Linked DNA regions of Callithrix jacchus. The protein of the gene in region 1 interacts with the protein of each later gene in a pairwise test. Links are inferred from orthologs where the notes say so. Each region holds a gene or a part of one and is shown in the gene's direction. Other genes may lie near its edges.

Region 1 (3,926 bases):
GTTCTAGTAAGCCCATAAATCTAATAAACACAGAGTTCCTTTTTCCTACGTATTTTAACTCTCACCTTACTTTTCCTTTTTACCATCCTGTCTTTTTGGAATACAGGCAGACAGCATTCCTCTATATTTCTTTTGTTTTAGTAGCAATGATCTCTTCAGTAAAAATTACAAATGCCATTCAAAATATTTCCCCTGAAATAGACGGCTAGAACAAATCAAAGTCGAGCTGCAACTCTAATACTTAATACAGGGCATTGCCTGACACAGAATGGGCTCTTAAAGGTTGCTAAGTGAGCGGACCCCAGTGAGAACGAAGGCACCCAGGGCTGAAGAGAGGGAGCTGAGAACAGCGGACACACACTGAGTGTTTCACACCGCACAATCCCGGTGGCCTGACCCTGATCTGAGCCCTGGTGGTAAAAAGCCTTAAACGTGACAAGACTCAGAACCTAAAGCCAAGGCAAGATCTGGCGGTTAAGCTGGGACGGCAGCATCCTTCTTGCCCATCAAAGGAGTGAGCTTTATTGAAACTTCCTGCCACAATGAAGAAAACACAGACACAAGGAAGCGCGCCCTTCCCGCGCCCGGCACTGGCCCCGCACAGGGGCAAGGGAAAGACCCCCAGGTATCCACTCCGTCAGGGCCAGGCAGGTCGGCGTGGCGGGGCGGCAGGACTCTGCGGGACCGTGCGAGCGTCTCCGCGGACCCCACAGGCCTCGCCTCAGCCCCGGGCCCAATCCCGGCCCCACGGCGGGCCAGGTCCCAAGAGCCTGCCGGCGTCGCGACCTCTGCTCGATCATTACCTGTGGCGCAGAGCCGCAGGGCGGCCCGACACCTCCAGGCTGCCATGCTAGCCTGGGAGAGCTGCAGAAGCTGACTCTGTGCAATAGAGAGAAAAGATACCGGTGTCCGCTGCCTTCCCGCCAGGAAAGGGAAGCGGAGCTGACCCAGAGCGGAAGAGAAGCTCCGCTCAGAATACGGGGGCGGGGCAGGCCGGCCTCCGTTAAGCTCCCAGGACCCCGCCGGTCTCCGTCTCTGAGTATGCGCGGAGTGCGGCGCATGCGCCGGGAGGGCAGCGTCTGCGCTGTCGTGTGCTTCAGCATCCTTTGCGCCCTCGGCCCCTCCTGAGGAGCGTGGGAACCCAGCGTGCGGGCTTTATTCGGGAAAGCGGTGGTTGTTCACGGGGGCACGTTTCCGGAAAGGTGAATACTGGAGAAAGTTAGGTTGCAGGCGAGGTAGACTCCCACGACGCACTTACGGGATGAATATTGGCACATCATTTGCTTGCTGCTCCCGTGCAGTGAGTGCACCTGTGCGTTTTAATGCTGGATCAAATTTGTGGAAAGAGGCGCGCCTGAAGACTGGATTGCTGAGCTGCGCGCCACTCTGTGTTTTTCCAAAGCGTTTTTGAAATCGTCTTTCAACCTGTTTGCATAAAGGGACATCTCTTAAATGCAGCAAGCTTTAATGCACTTTTGCCAAAGTAAGGATTGCCTCTTTAAAAACTTTCTCTTGAAACTTGAGAACATAAAGTTAGGCTTAGGATTTTTTATGACTTTTCTGATTACTTTGGAATTAAATAAAATAGTATGAAATATTCATATTGCTACCTGTTTTTTTTTTTCTACAGGACAATGATTTGTAAAACCCATATTTCTTTTATATGAGGTTACTGCAGCAGTCGCTACTTCTGAATTAGATGAAATTTTTATGGGACGTAAGGTACCAGAGGATTTAGATCAAATTTTGAAAACCTATGAGAACAACAGAAAGGGTAAGTTATGATGTCAGCCGGTTCACCTTAGGTTCAAAATTCCAACAGGCGGAAATGTTCTAAAACATTGTTATTCCTAGTGACTAGAAGATTAAATTACACTCTAATTGAGAGCAAGCCTTAAATGTCACCCCTTTTGGGCATACAGCATGGTATCCAGTGCAAGCCCTCTGCAGATTCAATTTTTCTTCCTTTCTTTTTTTTTTTTTTTTTTTTTAAAGAAAAAGACTAAAACATAAGGGGACTGTTGAAGCGACGGGAATGTTCTCTCAATGGTGGTGAAACAGCTTTATAATAGTACCATGGACTTGATACTCTTCTACAGAAGCTTTTCTACTCTCTTGGCAGTATCTCTGAAAGACCCATATTCAGTTTGTTTTTCCATTCTAATGTATTTCAAAGTTCTCTGTCTTCCACAGCATGCAAAATAAAATAATTTCTTTGCATATTTGCATTACAGTTTAAGTTAGCATGTGGAGAACAACAAAAACCAGTTAACCTAGATCTGTGCTCTTCAATAGTGTAGCCACTAACCACCTGTGGCTATTGAGCTTTTGAAACATGCCGTGTCATGAAGTAACTGAATATTTAATTTTAATTTTAGGAAATAAAAAAACTGACACTCGATTCAGTTATTGGAAAGTTTTTTTAATATGATTGGAACAACTGAGATATTTGAATCTACTTTTTCAACTGTAAATTTTATGAAATCTAAAAACTGATCATTTCCCAGGTGTGGGTGGCTCTTAACTGTTTGCCAGCACTTTGGGAGGCTGAGGCAGGAGGATTGGTTGAGGTCAGGGATCCGAAACCAGCTTGGGCAACACAGTGAGACCCCGTCTGTACAAAAAGTTTAAAAATTAGCCAGGTGTGGTGGCACACACCTGTGGTCCCAACTACTCCAGAGGCTGAGGTGGGAGGATCAATTGGGCCAGGGAGGTTGAGGTTGCAGTGAGCTGTGATTGTGCCACTGCATTCCAGCCTGGCAACAGAGCTAGACCATGTTTCTATAAAATAAATACCAATTAACGTATTTCTGATGAAATTAGGGAGGTTGTAAGGAGGTATAGTATAAATGTAAAATATACACTGGATTTGGAAGGCAGTATAAAACTGTTAAATGTCTCAGTATTTTTGTATTGATTATATGTTGTAATGCCTATAGCTTAGCTATATCTTAGATATATTGAGTTAATAAAATAAATTATTAGAATTAATTTCACCTGTTTTTATATTTCACTGTGTTTCCAAGAAAATTTATAATGACATATGTGCTTTGCATGATATTTTCATTGCAGGCAATGTGAAAATGTTCAAAATTATGCATTAATGTGAAAATGATTTAATAAACCAATAGACTTTTTAGGCCTTTTGTTCAGAGAACATGCTAAATTTCCATATGCTAAAACATATTCAGTGTTCAAAAATTTAAGTGTTTTTTTCCTGCTTATCTACCTCAAGTGGTGATCACTTTTTTTGTTATTTAAAAGGTTCTACTATTTTGACAAGATCTTTAAAAAGACTTTCAGATAAGCTACACTTGTACAGATACATGCCTTATATATTTTGCCTACATATGGCTGTAGTCTAAATGTGTATCGCAAATTGCATATGTTGAAACTTCATTGCCAATATGATAATATTAAGAGATTGGGCCATTTGTGCATGATTTAATCATGAGGTGGAACGCTCATGAATGTGATTAGAGACCTAATAAAAGAGACCAAAGGGATTATCTTAGTCCCTTTTCCCCTTCAACCTTAAGCCATATGAAGACACAAGAAGAAGGTACCATCCTTGGAAGCAGAGAGCAAACCCTTATCAGACATCAAACCTGCTGACTCCTTGATGTGCAGCCTCCAGAACTTTAAGAAATAAATGTTTATTATTTATAACTTATCAAGTCTGTGCTATTTTGTTACAGAGCATCAACAGGCTAAGTAAGACACATGTGCTTTCCAAAAGTCATATACACAGGTGTCTTGTTTATGGTAGGACTGTTTGCAATTGTGAAAAGCTAAACAATTCAAATCTGTAAAAGTAGAATAGATAAATTGTGTTGTTATCCTGTAGTAAAGTACTATATAGTAATGAGAATGAATGAACTTTTGTATGGAGAACTGTGTGGTTGCAAATCATAAACTAAATGTTG
Region 2 (3,500 bases), on another chromosome or scaffold:
TTTGTCAAAAGGCTTTAGGGACTGATTCCCACCCCTGCTATTGAAGGCAGGGCACCACTGCTTCAAGAGAGGGGTACAGGCCCTATGGGGCAGGTAGGAGGACTCCAGAGAAAACTGACACCTTATAGACAGCTTGGCCTCACCCTACGATATACAGATGGGGAAGGGGCTTGAACCCATGCCTCCTTGGTTGGCTGGGTCTTCCTCACACCAGGCTAACAGTGTCATGACAAGCTGCCAAGTTCAAGGTAGGTGATGATGGGAACTCTGTGGCCCCATAAAACCCTCCCAGTCACCTGCCATTGAGGTTAGGCCAGGTGGTGGGAGGTGATGTCACTCAGCTCCCCAGCTGGGGACTGAGCAGGATGTGGAAGGGAGGGAGCAAACTCCAAAGGAGGGGACAAGGGCAGGGCTGGTGGCCAGCCAAGTCAGGCTCCATGGTCAGCAGAGGCATTGAGGGCAGAGAAGGAGGCAGGAGGCAGGAGGCAGGTGGTTTGTTATTTTCAGCTGTGGACTTTACTTCTTACAAATTCCAGCAGGGGGACTTCCCTAGCTAGGCTCAGGACAGGCTGGCATGGGAAGAGGGGCTGGAGGGACCCTGGGTCAAGTGAACCTAGTGAACACTCTCCTTGCTGCACTAGAGCTACAGAATGGAGTTGGGACAAGCACAGACCCACAGATCTGGGCTTGAACCCTGGCTCCACTGCCTCCTCATTCATTTACTCCGTCTTTTATTCATTCACCTGGCACCCATTCATTGAGCACTTGCGTGTACAGCCGTGTTCAGGATGCTGGCAATGCTGATGAAAATGGGACAGATAATGTTTTCTATCATTGCGGATGTTCCAGGAGGCATAATCTCTTGTTGGACAACCATTTGTGAGAGAATATAACACAGGGGCCCCCTGTGGAAGTGATATTTAAGCTTTAGAATGATAAGTGACACGAAGGGGCTGGGGTGGTGACAGATTGAAGAAAGCATTTCAGGCAGCAGCCACAGCCTGGGCAAAGACCCTGAGGCCTGAGGGACCAGGGAACTTATGAGGAAGTTGGTGGAGTTGAAGCGGTTCTCGTGAGCAAGAGTGTAGGTCCAGGGGGTGGACCTGGGTTATGTATGTGGCTATGGGCCAGTTATTTCACCTCTGTGCCTTCCTCTCCTCATCTGTAAAATGGGAGTATGAATCTTCCCAGGTGGCTGTGAAGATTCACTGTGGCATTGTAGGTAACTGTTGCAGGCAACCAGGTGCTGACTGCGTGGCTGTTGTTCTTATGGTTGGTTGAATCTGTCCCATTAATTCTCCCTCCCCAGGCAAGACTCCTGGCTGTGACCCATGGGCCTCTGAGGAGGCGTTGTAAGTCCGCCCAGCTCCCCACTTGCTGTGCTCCCACTCAATGCGAAGGGAACCAAGGTACCAGGGCCAAGTGGGTCCAGACATCCACACGGATTCTGAAAGGGCAGGTCAAGCAGGCACGTGGGGCCCAGGTTACCCCTTATTCCCTGCTGTGGCATGGGAAGTTGGGAAGGGCTGGGGGTTGGGGTATCATGGGACGTGCTTCCTTAACGGCTCCTGTGTGTCACTGCCAGACTTTGTCCAGCCATCAGCCACGGCCTCTCAACAGCACCAAGATGGAAGTCAAAGGTCAGCTGATCAGCTCTCCTACCTTCAATGCCCCAGGTCGGTGGCTGCTTCCCCTCCTGTTGCCTCCTCCCCTGCTCTAAATCACCACCTGCTTGCTTGGGAAGAGTTGGTCCCTGGCCCCACAGCTGCTCCAGGATGCCCTGGCTGTCCCACTGATCTTTGCTCCCTCTGTGTCCAGCTGCCCTGTTCGGAGAGGCTGCCCCCCAGGTGAAGTCAGAGCGTCTGCGGGGGTTGCTTGACCGGCAGCGGACCCTACAGGAGGCCCTGAGCCTGAAACTTCAGGAGCTCCGCAAAGTGTGTCTCCAGGAGGCGGTAAGGGCCTGGCCCTAGGGGTGTCAGGCGGGGAGGTGGTGGGGGAGGTGAGGAGCTGGGTCCCCTAGATAGACAGACTTGGGTGGCAGTTGTTCAACCACTTGTCCTGTCTGTGTCACCCACTTTTCTCTGTCACCCACTTTCTCAAAGCTCAGCTTAGCTGTGTTAGAATGAATGAAATACGGTAATACAGGCACACAATCCCCTGTCGACAATTTCAAATCCAACAAACCTTAGAAAACAGGTTCTGTTCAAAATTTGGCAGCACAGTCAGACCTGAACTGGCACAGGGTGATGTGTAGTTTCAGTTTCCCCCTCTTACTGTGAATGCCCACAGTGTGCCAGAAATAATACTATAGCTCAGACCACGCAGCCCCAGCCCCCGAAGGGAGTTATATAATACTTAGGATCTCGATGGTATCGCTTTTATAAAAATGAAACAATTTTGGATCCCAAAGCAGGTCTCCCTGCCTCTCATGCCCACCACCACAGGGGTTTGGGCCATTGAGATTTGGGCACGCCTGCCTGTTGGACATAATGGGAGGAGGAAGGGAAGTATCGTGTGTGGGTGCTGAGCAGGGCCAGGCTCCTGGTAGGACTTCTGTAGCTTCTGGGATCATTAATGTGTTACCGCATCCTTCCAACTAACCCTTGGTAGTCTCTGACTTCTGCCCTCCACCAGGAGCTGACTGGCCAGCTGCCCCCTGAGTGCCCGTTGGAGCCTGGTGAACGGCCCCAGTTGGTCCGCCGGCGGCCCCCCACAGCCCGCGCCTACCCTCCACCACACCCCAACCCAGCACACCACTCCTTGTGCCCTGCTGAGGTGAGCAGATGGGTGTGGAGAGCAAGAGGGTGGGGAGAGGGGACAGGTACAGAGGAGTAGCCAGGAGGAAGGTATGGGGAGGGGGCTTGTGGCCAGGTGAGGGAGAGGCTAAGGTGAGAAGGAAAAGGGCTTCTGGAGGTAGGTTCCTGCAATGAGGGAGGATGCTGGTCCCTAACTGTCAGGACAGGCCTCCCATGCTCAGGAAGATAAACAGTCCCAGTCCTTCACCAAGAGAGGCCCTGCCCTGCCCTGCCCTGCCCTGCCCCCTCCCCTCCCTGGGGTAAATAAGTTCCACCTGCAGGTGAATAGGCCTGAATAGGCCACTGGAAGTGCAGGACAGCCTCTAGTGGGTTTGGCTCCACCAGGTCCCTGTGCCTGGCCATTTCCAACATTTGGATGGGCCCGACAGGAGCTGGCTCTTGAGGCCCTGGAGCGTGAGGTGTCGGTGCAGCAGCAGATTGCAGCAGCTGCCCGCCGCCTGGCCCTGGCCCCTGATTTGAGCACCGAGCAGCGCCGGCGCCGGCGCCAGGTCCAGGCAGACGCACTGCGGAGGCTGCACGAGCTGGAGGAGCAGCTCGGGGACGTCCGGGCCCGCCTTGGCCTCCCAGTGCTCCCACCACCCCAGCCACTGCCACTGTCTACGGGGCCAGTGATCACCGCCCAGGGAGTCTGCCTGGGCATGCGGCTCACTCAGCTCAGCCAAGGTGAGCATCCCCTGGTGAGGG
Region 3 (3,740 bases), on another chromosome or scaffold:
AAAAGAAAGAAAAATGGTGGGAGGGGCCAGCGGGAGCAGTTGGGGTCCTGCTCTGTGGGGTGCGACCGCAGCCCAGGTAAGGCCTCTGCTACATGAGGCACAGTCCCATGGGGTGGGCAGGGGAGGAATACATAGCCAGACAGAAGTGAAGGGAGCTCACTCAGTACAGTAGGGGATGCCCAGACTCGGGGGGACGAAGGTGCGGAGCTGCAGCCGATGAGCAGGGCTGACCTTGGGTGCAGGGCGTGGTCCCTGGAGACCTGGGAGGCTGACCCTTCTCTTCCCCTCCTCTACCAGAAGACTCGGGCTCGGGGCTCATGAACACCCTCCTGAATGGACACAAGGTAAGCGACTCTCCTCCTAGCAAATCACCTGAGGTAGAAAGGTCTGGAGATTTCTAAAACCGGCGCTTCGAGGAGGAAGCCATGGCCCCTCGCCCAGATGTATGCAAGCAGGGGTGGTGCCACCGCACTGCGGGGACGCTCTTGATTGTACTCGCACTCAGGGTGCCCCAGGAGACCCTCCTAGGTTTGGGGCACACCCAGAAAGAACGTGGCTGCCCCCTACCACCAGCAAATTTCCACCTTGTCCCTTCTTCAGGGTGGGGACTGCGACGGCTTCTCCACCTTCGATGTTCCCATCTTCACTGAAGAGTTCTTGGACCAAAACAAAGGTAACTGTCAACTGCGGTCCTGATGCAAACTCCGTGGAAGTGGGTGGTGGAGGGGAGCGTGGGCCAGGAGGGCCCCCAAGGTGGGAGGGGGCGGATCGGGAGGTTTCCTCTGAGCGCCCAGGCACCCGCTGTCGCCCCAGGAACTGATATAGAGCAGGAGGCAGAGGGTGCAGTGATGGAAACCCCGGCAGGGACTCGTCCCGGGCTAAAGCCGGGCGATGAGGGGAGTGGGGAGGCGCAGACTCTGACCCCGCTCACCCCGGCCCAGCCCGCGAGGCAGAGCTGCGGCGCTTGCGGAAGATGAACGTGGCCTTCGAGGAGCAGAACGCGGTGCTGCAGAGGCACACGCAGAGCATGAGCAGCGCGCGCGAGCGTCTGGAGCAGGAGCTGGCGCTGGAGGAGCGGCGGACGCTGGCGTTGCAGCAGCAGCTCCAGGCGGTGCGCCAGGCGCTCACCGCCAGCTTCGCCTCGCTGCCCGTGCCGGGTGCGGACCCCGCCCATGGCCCCGCCCCGGTCGCCCGGCCCCGCCCATCTCCCCCCCGCCCCAGTCGCCCGGCCCCGCCCATCTCCCCCCTGCCCCAGTCGCCCGGCCCCGCCCATCTCCCACCTGCCCGTCACCTGGCCCCGCCCATCTCCCCCTGCCCGTCACCCGGCCCCGCCCATCTCCCTGCCCCAGTCGCCCGGTCCCGCCCATCTCCCCCTGCCCCAGGCACCCAGCCCCGCCCATCTCCCTGCCCCAGTCGCCCGGTCCCGCCCATCTCCCCCCTGCTCCGCTCATCTCCCCCTGCCCGTCACCCTGCCCCGCCCATCTCCCACTGCCCCAGTCGCCCGGTCCCGCCCATCTCCCCCTGCCCCAGGCACCCAGCCCCGCCCATCTCCCTGCCCCAGTCGCCCGGTCCCGCCCATCTCCCCCCTGCTCCGCTCATCTCCCCCTGCCCGTCACCCTGCCCCGCCCATCTCCCACTGCCCCAGGCACCCGGCCCCGCCCATCTCCCCATCCCGTCACCCAGCCCCGCCTGTCGCCCCGTCCATTTCCCCCCCTTCCCGTCACCCGGACCCCACTCCCGTCCGGTTCCCCAGTCACCCGGCCCTGCCTATCGTCCCGCCTTCACCACACACCCCCGAGCTCCGCCCCCTCCAGAACCCCGCATCTCTACCCCATTGCTCCACTCCGCGCCCCATTGCTCGCCTCCGTCCCTGGCCTCGCCCCCACGGACCGCACTTCCCGGCCACGATCTCTCCCGCCTGGTCCCCACTGACCCCTCTTCCTCCCACAGCCCCTTCGTGCCCCCACCTCGGACGCTCCAGGCACCGCTCCCTGCCGGCCCCAACCTCGCTGGCTTCTCTCCCTCGCCAGCCCCCGACTGGCCTTGGGCACTGACCCCACCTCCCCGCGCCCCCGTCACCCACGCCTCCCCCGCCCCGCCCTCGCCAGCCGCCTGCCTCGGCTGACCCTGACCCACCGTGCGCCCCGCCCGCGCTAGCCAGGGTCGCGACCTCTGAGCGCACGGGGGACTCCACCGACTCGCGTCCCCGCGCCCTCCTCGAGACCCGCCCTGACAGTACACCCCCCACCTCTGCCCCTTGCCCTGGAGTCCCCGCCCTGCGACTCCCCGGAACCCTCGCCTGACTCACCTTATGTGTCCCCCAGGCACTGGCGAGACGCCCACGCTAGGCACCCTGGACTTCTACATGGCCCGGCTGCACGGTGCCATCGAGCGCGACCCCGCACAGCACGAGAAGCTCATCATCCGCATCAAGGAAATCCTGGCCCAGGTCGCCAGGTGTGTGCCCGGTGGGGCGGGGGGCGGGGGCGGGGCCGGGCTCACTCAGTTGGGGGGCGCCAGAAGTTCCCCAAAGCTTCTCAGGGCGGATCCCAGTGCCTGGATTAGGTTCGATCCACACCTGCCCCCCAACCCTGGCATCTGTCGGAGTAGCTGATGCATGGCCTTTGGGGTTCCTCTGGGTCTGGTGGGGGCCAGAGATGATACGGTCCTCATCCCGGGCCCTCCTGTCTCTGGTTTCAGTGAGCACCTGTGAGGAGTGGGCGGGCCCACGATGCAGAGGAGAAGCTGTGGGCGCGGCCCTGCCCCAATCTGCCCCACAGACGAGAAGCTGAGGGTTCACCCTTTGGGGCCTGGTCCCATCCTGCACCTTGGGGGCTCCAGCCCCCCTAAAATTAAATTTCTGCAGCATCCCTTTAGCTTTCAATCACCCCAGCCCTCTGATCCCACAAGAAACACTGCGACCGCACAGCCGCGGGTACCCCTCCTCGGAGGACAGCCATGCACCGCGCGGCTCTCCCCATTATCCCCGGGACCAGGACAGACAACCACCCCCAGCACATGGCAGGACCCCCAGATTACCCAGGTGTGTTCCCTGGGTCACACAGGCAGCTGCCTTGTGGGGACTTACCTGGGATGGGTCCCCAAATGCCTGCCCCCAGATGGGGGTGGTGATCTTGCCCATCCTGCCGTCCTCCGGCCAGGGGACCCTCCTGGGTGCGGCCCCTTCCCAGTGCTGGATCCGGACTTTTTAAATAAATAGAAACAGAATTCGTGTTTTCAGCTGGTGAGTGTGTAAGTTGTTTGGGGTGGTGTGGAGGGCTCAGGAGGTGTGGCTGTGGCCCCCATGACATCGCTGCTGGGGGTGCCAGGCCTGCTCTCTTACCTCCAGCAGCGCTTCAGAGTTTCTGAGGGAGGCTGGGACCCAAACTTGCTGGGGTTCACAGAGCCAGCCAGCGGCAGGGCAGGCATCTCCATCCTGCATTCTACCTGTGTGGGCTCAGCACACGTGGGGGGCTTGGGGCTCGGGACAGTCAACAGCTGCTCAGTTCATCCTTCAACTTGGGTCCACACGGGGGTTCAGGTCCTTCCCCAGCAGACTGTCACTGGTTTTGTTCATTGTGTAAATTCGGCAACATAAACCTTGCCATTACAGCCATTTTGTGTATGAGAGACTGGGTCTCGCTCTGCCACGCGGGCTGCAGTGCAGTGGCCCAGTCACAGCTCACTGCAGCCTTGAACTTCCGGGCTCAAGAGACCCTCCTGCCTCAGCCTCCCAAAGC
Region 4 (3,500 bases), on another chromosome or scaffold:
TTTTACAAGTCACTCAGTAATATATTTGTTAATGCAGTGTATATTGTTTGATACCATATTATGTCTAAGAAGAGCTTGATACTTTTATCTGGTTTCTAAGGACAAGCTGAACCGTACTTGTTTTTTTTAATACATCAGTATTTAGTAGACATTTTTTTTTTTTTTTTGCAATGCTCAATACTGGATATTGCAGGGTATGCATAAGTGACTCAGAAATGGATCTTGTCTAAAGGAACTTAAAGGCAAGTTTATCTATAAATTCAAATCTAGTTTATAACAGATAAATTTCTGTGAGAGTCTGAGGAGACAGATTATGGTTGAAAGGCAATCCGTAAATGAAGAGGTAGGGCTTTGAAATCAGACAGATTGAGTTCTCGCTTTCACCACTTAGTATCAGATTGGGCTAAATACCTAAACACTGAATTTTTTTCCAGTGTTTTCTTTATCAAAGCTATTTTAAAATACTTTTTTATTTATTTATTTTTTTTGTGACAGAGTCTTACTCTGTTGCCCACACTGGAGTGCAGTGGCACAGTCTTGGCTCACTGCAACCTCTGCCTCCCAGGTTCAAGTGATTCTTCTGCCTAGCCTCCCAAGTAACTGGGATTACAGGCGCCTGCCACCACGCCTGGCTAATTTTTGTATTTTTTAGTTGAGACATGATTTTACCATGTTGGCTGGGCTAGTCTTGAACTCCTGACCTCAGGTGATCCACCCACCTTGGCTTCCCAAAGTGCTGAGATTATAGGGGTGAGCCACTGCACCCAGCCTATTTTTAATTATTTTAAATAGCCTACTGTAAAGCATTAACACAGTGCTTTTCAGGTATTATGTGAGTGTGTTGTGGGTGGCAGGTAGTTAGCCAAAACCAATCTCTTAAATTTGTGAATTTGATTAGGAAAGAAATAATATAAATTATAAGGGTGGGCCTGGCACAGTGGCTCATACCTGTAATCCCAGCTCTTTGAGAAGCTTAGGGCCAGGAACTTGAGACCAGGGTAATGTAGCGAATCTCCATCTCTACAAAAAATTTTAAAACTTAGCTGGTTGTGGGGCCGCGTACCTGTTGCTCTTAGCTATTCAAAAGGCTAAGGTGAGAGGATTGGGTGAGTCCATAACTTTGAGGTTGCAGTGAGCTATGATAGTGCTACTGTACTTAAGCCTAGGCGATAGAGTGAGACTTTAGTCTAAAACAACAGCAGCAGCAAAAGCAGTGTAAATAGTGATGCCATTGTTTAAGAATTTAAAGTTACTCAACCAGTCCCTTGCTCTAAGTTAGCAATATAATGACACCCTAAAGGGTTTCCACCTACTCCTCAAAGTGGAAAATGTATTATATTATCAAACACTTTATTTAACCCAGTTTATAAAGTATTGCCATGCCAACACATAATCAACATGAAAACTTCATTCATGAGCTATTGCACGTTCTTAGGTACTAAGTCTTTGAAACTTGACATGCTATTTTGTACTTGGAGTACATCTCAATTCAGTATAGCTACTTTTCAAGGGCTCCACAGCCACATGCAATTATTGCCTGCCATATTGGGCAGTATACTTTTAGACAGTGTTGGGAAATGGACTTAAATATAAATACTGAACAAATAGCTTGGTTCCTGTAGTCAACATGTGATGATCAGATGTGATGTACACATATGCTGGACAAAGCAACATTGAAAGAAAGGGGCATATTCATTTCTTGTTGATCTTTATAGGCATGAATTCTCTTTTCCCCAATGGTAACCTTGCTTGAATTTCATCAGATTTAATGGTGAGACTCAGCGGCTAGTGTCCAGTATCTCCTCTAGAGTGCTTCTTATGAATATAAGTAACAGTGGCAGGTACATGTAAAGATGCCCTCTGCTGTGATTTCTATTTTTTACAGTTGCTCTATTGGGGAAATGTTAGTCTGCTTTCAAGAAAAAAGGACAGAGTAGATACTCTATGCTGGTTTAAGACCTAGAATTAAGACAAACTTGTTGACAGTGGTAAGGATAAGAGAAGAGGGATTACTCTTTTTCTCTTGTTCAACCTTCTCTTCTCTGTTCTGTAAGTGCTTTAAGACAAATATTTCCTAGAGCTAAAAAATATTTCAGTGTTTTTTAAAAACCTTGCCAGGCGTGGTGGCTTATGCCTGTAATCCCAGCCCTTTAGGAGTTAGAGGTGGGTAGATCACAAGGTCAGGAGATCGAGACCGTCCTGGCCAACATGGTGAAACCCCATCTCAAAAACAAACAACAACAACAAAAAACTTTATGTGGCTCCAGAGTTTGACACAAAAATGTGCCCCCGCAGGCATGTCTTTCTTACCTTCTGTCTTCATTATATGGTTGTGATCCATGTAAACGCTTGGAAGAATGCAAAGTGAAATCAAACAATTTAGATTGGAATCGTTGTTTGTAATTTGAGATTACTAAACTTTTTTTGTTTCTTTCAGTAATTTTATGCGTCAGGAGTGTTTGGATTCCAGATTTGTATTTGATAGACCACTTCCTGTGTCACGTCTTGTATCTCTAATTGGAAGCAGTATCCTTTTTATGTTAATATTTATGGATATGAACTTTGAAGCGTTTTGATATTTGTGTTAATTATCATAGGAATATGATAATAACATGACATAGGTAAGATTGTGAAAACTTTAAAACAATTTGGGTAGCTCTTTCATTAGCCTGTATAAGCAATTTATATTTGCTAGACATAAATAAACCCAACTTCAGGGAAATTATCCAAGCATCTTTTTAGAGGGGATTTAAAGTTTCTCAATGGTTCTAGATGTCCCAAGAAATCCCAAGTTTTACCTGGGAAGAATTATTTTGCTGGCACTCTTAGATTTGGTAGAAAGGCAAACATTTTATATTAGGCCAAAGATAGAGAATCCTATTTTATTCTTTCTCTGGTGGATTATGCAACAATTAAGGAAGAAGCCAGAAACCTTTGTTAATAATGTATACTTTGAAAATAAAGATAGTATAGGCCGGGCACAGTGGCTCAAGCCTGTAATCCCAGCACTTTAGGAGGCTGAGGCAGACAGATCACCTGAGGTCAGGAACTCGAGACCAGCCTGACCAACATAGAGAAATCCCCTCGCTACTAAAAATACCAAAAAGGCATGGTGGCACATGCCTTTAATCCCAGCTACTCAATAGGCTGAGGCAGGAGAATTGCTTGAACCCAGGAGGTGGAGGTTGCAGTGAGCAAAGATCGTGCCAGCCTGGGCAACAAAAGTGAAACTCCACCCCGTCCCCACCAAAAAAAAAGAAAGTAAAGAATAGTTCATTCCTTGTTAAAACAAGCTCTTAACTAGTCTAAGAGACCCAGATACCAACACAACGATATGGCCGGAGACCTTATGGTGTTGGGCTGCTTATTGCTGGTTATGATGTAAGTTCATTGATTATTATATTTTAATGATTTTTTTAACTAACTAGAAATTTTTATAATTTTTAGCTCAACCAAAGTAAATAATTATGTGGTGTATTTATTTCTGTTTGTAGGATATG

What was found.
Region 2: the proteins of CCDC102B (region 1) and CCDC120 interact in binary tests that used the Homo sapiens proteins (3 or more experiments, as listed by UniProt). The link is inferred for Callithrix jacchus from reciprocal best matches to the Homo sapiens genes CCDC102B and CCDC120.
Region 3: the proteins of CCDC102B (region 1) and HMG20B interact in binary tests that used the Homo sapiens proteins (3 or more experiments, as listed by UniProt). The two-hybrid records come from large-scale screens. The link is inferred for Callithrix jacchus from reciprocal best matches to the Homo sapiens genes CCDC102B and HMG20B.
Region 4: the proteins of CCDC102B (region 1) and PSMA1 interact in binary tests that used the Homo sapiens proteins (3 or more experiments, as listed by UniProt). The two-hybrid records come from large-scale screens. The link is inferred for Callithrix jacchus from reciprocal best matches to the Homo sapiens genes CCDC102B and PSMA1.

The regions. Positions count from the first base shown.
Region 1 is NC_133514.1:111,380,029-111,383,954, forward strand, and holds the start of CCDC102B (coiled-coil domain-containing protein 102B), read left to right. Parts: upstream 1-1,126; 5' UTR 1,127-1,202; exon of another isoform or gene 1,203-1,483; intron 1,484-1,630; 5' UTR 1,631-1,756; coding exon 1,757-1,774; intron 1,775-3,926. UniProt on the Homo sapiens protein: During interphase, forms fibers at the proximal ends of centrioles to maintain centrosome cohesion. During mitosis, dissociates from the centrosome following phosphorylation to allow centrosome separation. Contributes to CROCC/rootletin filament formation.
Region 2 is NC_133524.1:49,609,954-49,613,453, forward strand, and holds part of CCDC120 (coiled-coil domain-containing protein 120), read left to right. Parts: intron 1-1,309; coding exon 1,310-1,468; intron 1,469-1,585; coding exon 1,586-1,676; intron 1,677-1,818; coding exon 1,819-1,952; intron 1,953-2,634; coding exon 2,635-2,775; intron 2,776-3,184; coding exon 3,185-3,479; intron 3,480-3,500. UniProt on the Homo sapiens protein: Centriolar protein required for centriole subdistal appendage assembly and microtubule anchoring in interphase cells. Together with CCDC68, cooperate with subdistal appendage components ODF2, NIN and CEP170 for hierarchical subdistal appendage assembly.
Region 3 is NC_133523.1:3,341,155-3,344,894, forward strand, and holds the end of HMG20B (SWI/SNF-related matrix-associated actin-dependent regulator of chromatin subfamily E member 1-related), read left to right. Parts: intron 1-297; coding exon 298-344; intron 345-600; coding exon 601-673; intron 674-941; coding exon 942-1,157; intron 1,158-2,324; coding exon 2,325-2,457; intron 2,458-2,700; coding exon 2,701-2,713; 3' UTR 2,714-3,240; downstream 3,241-3,740. UniProt on the Homo sapiens protein: Required for correct progression through G2 phase of the cell cycle and entry into mitosis. Required for RCOR1/CoREST mediated repression of neuronal specific gene promoters.
Region 4 is NC_133511.1:80,384,758-80,388,257, reverse strand, and holds part of PSMA1 (proteasome subunit alpha type-1), read left to right. Parts: intron 1-2,437; coding exon 2,438-2,526; intron 2,527-3,310; coding exon 3,311-3,381; intron 3,382-3,494; coding exon 3,495-3,500. UniProt on the Homo sapiens protein: Component of the 20S core proteasome complex involved in the proteolytic degradation of most intracellular proteins. This complex plays numerous essential roles within the cell by associating with different regulatory particles.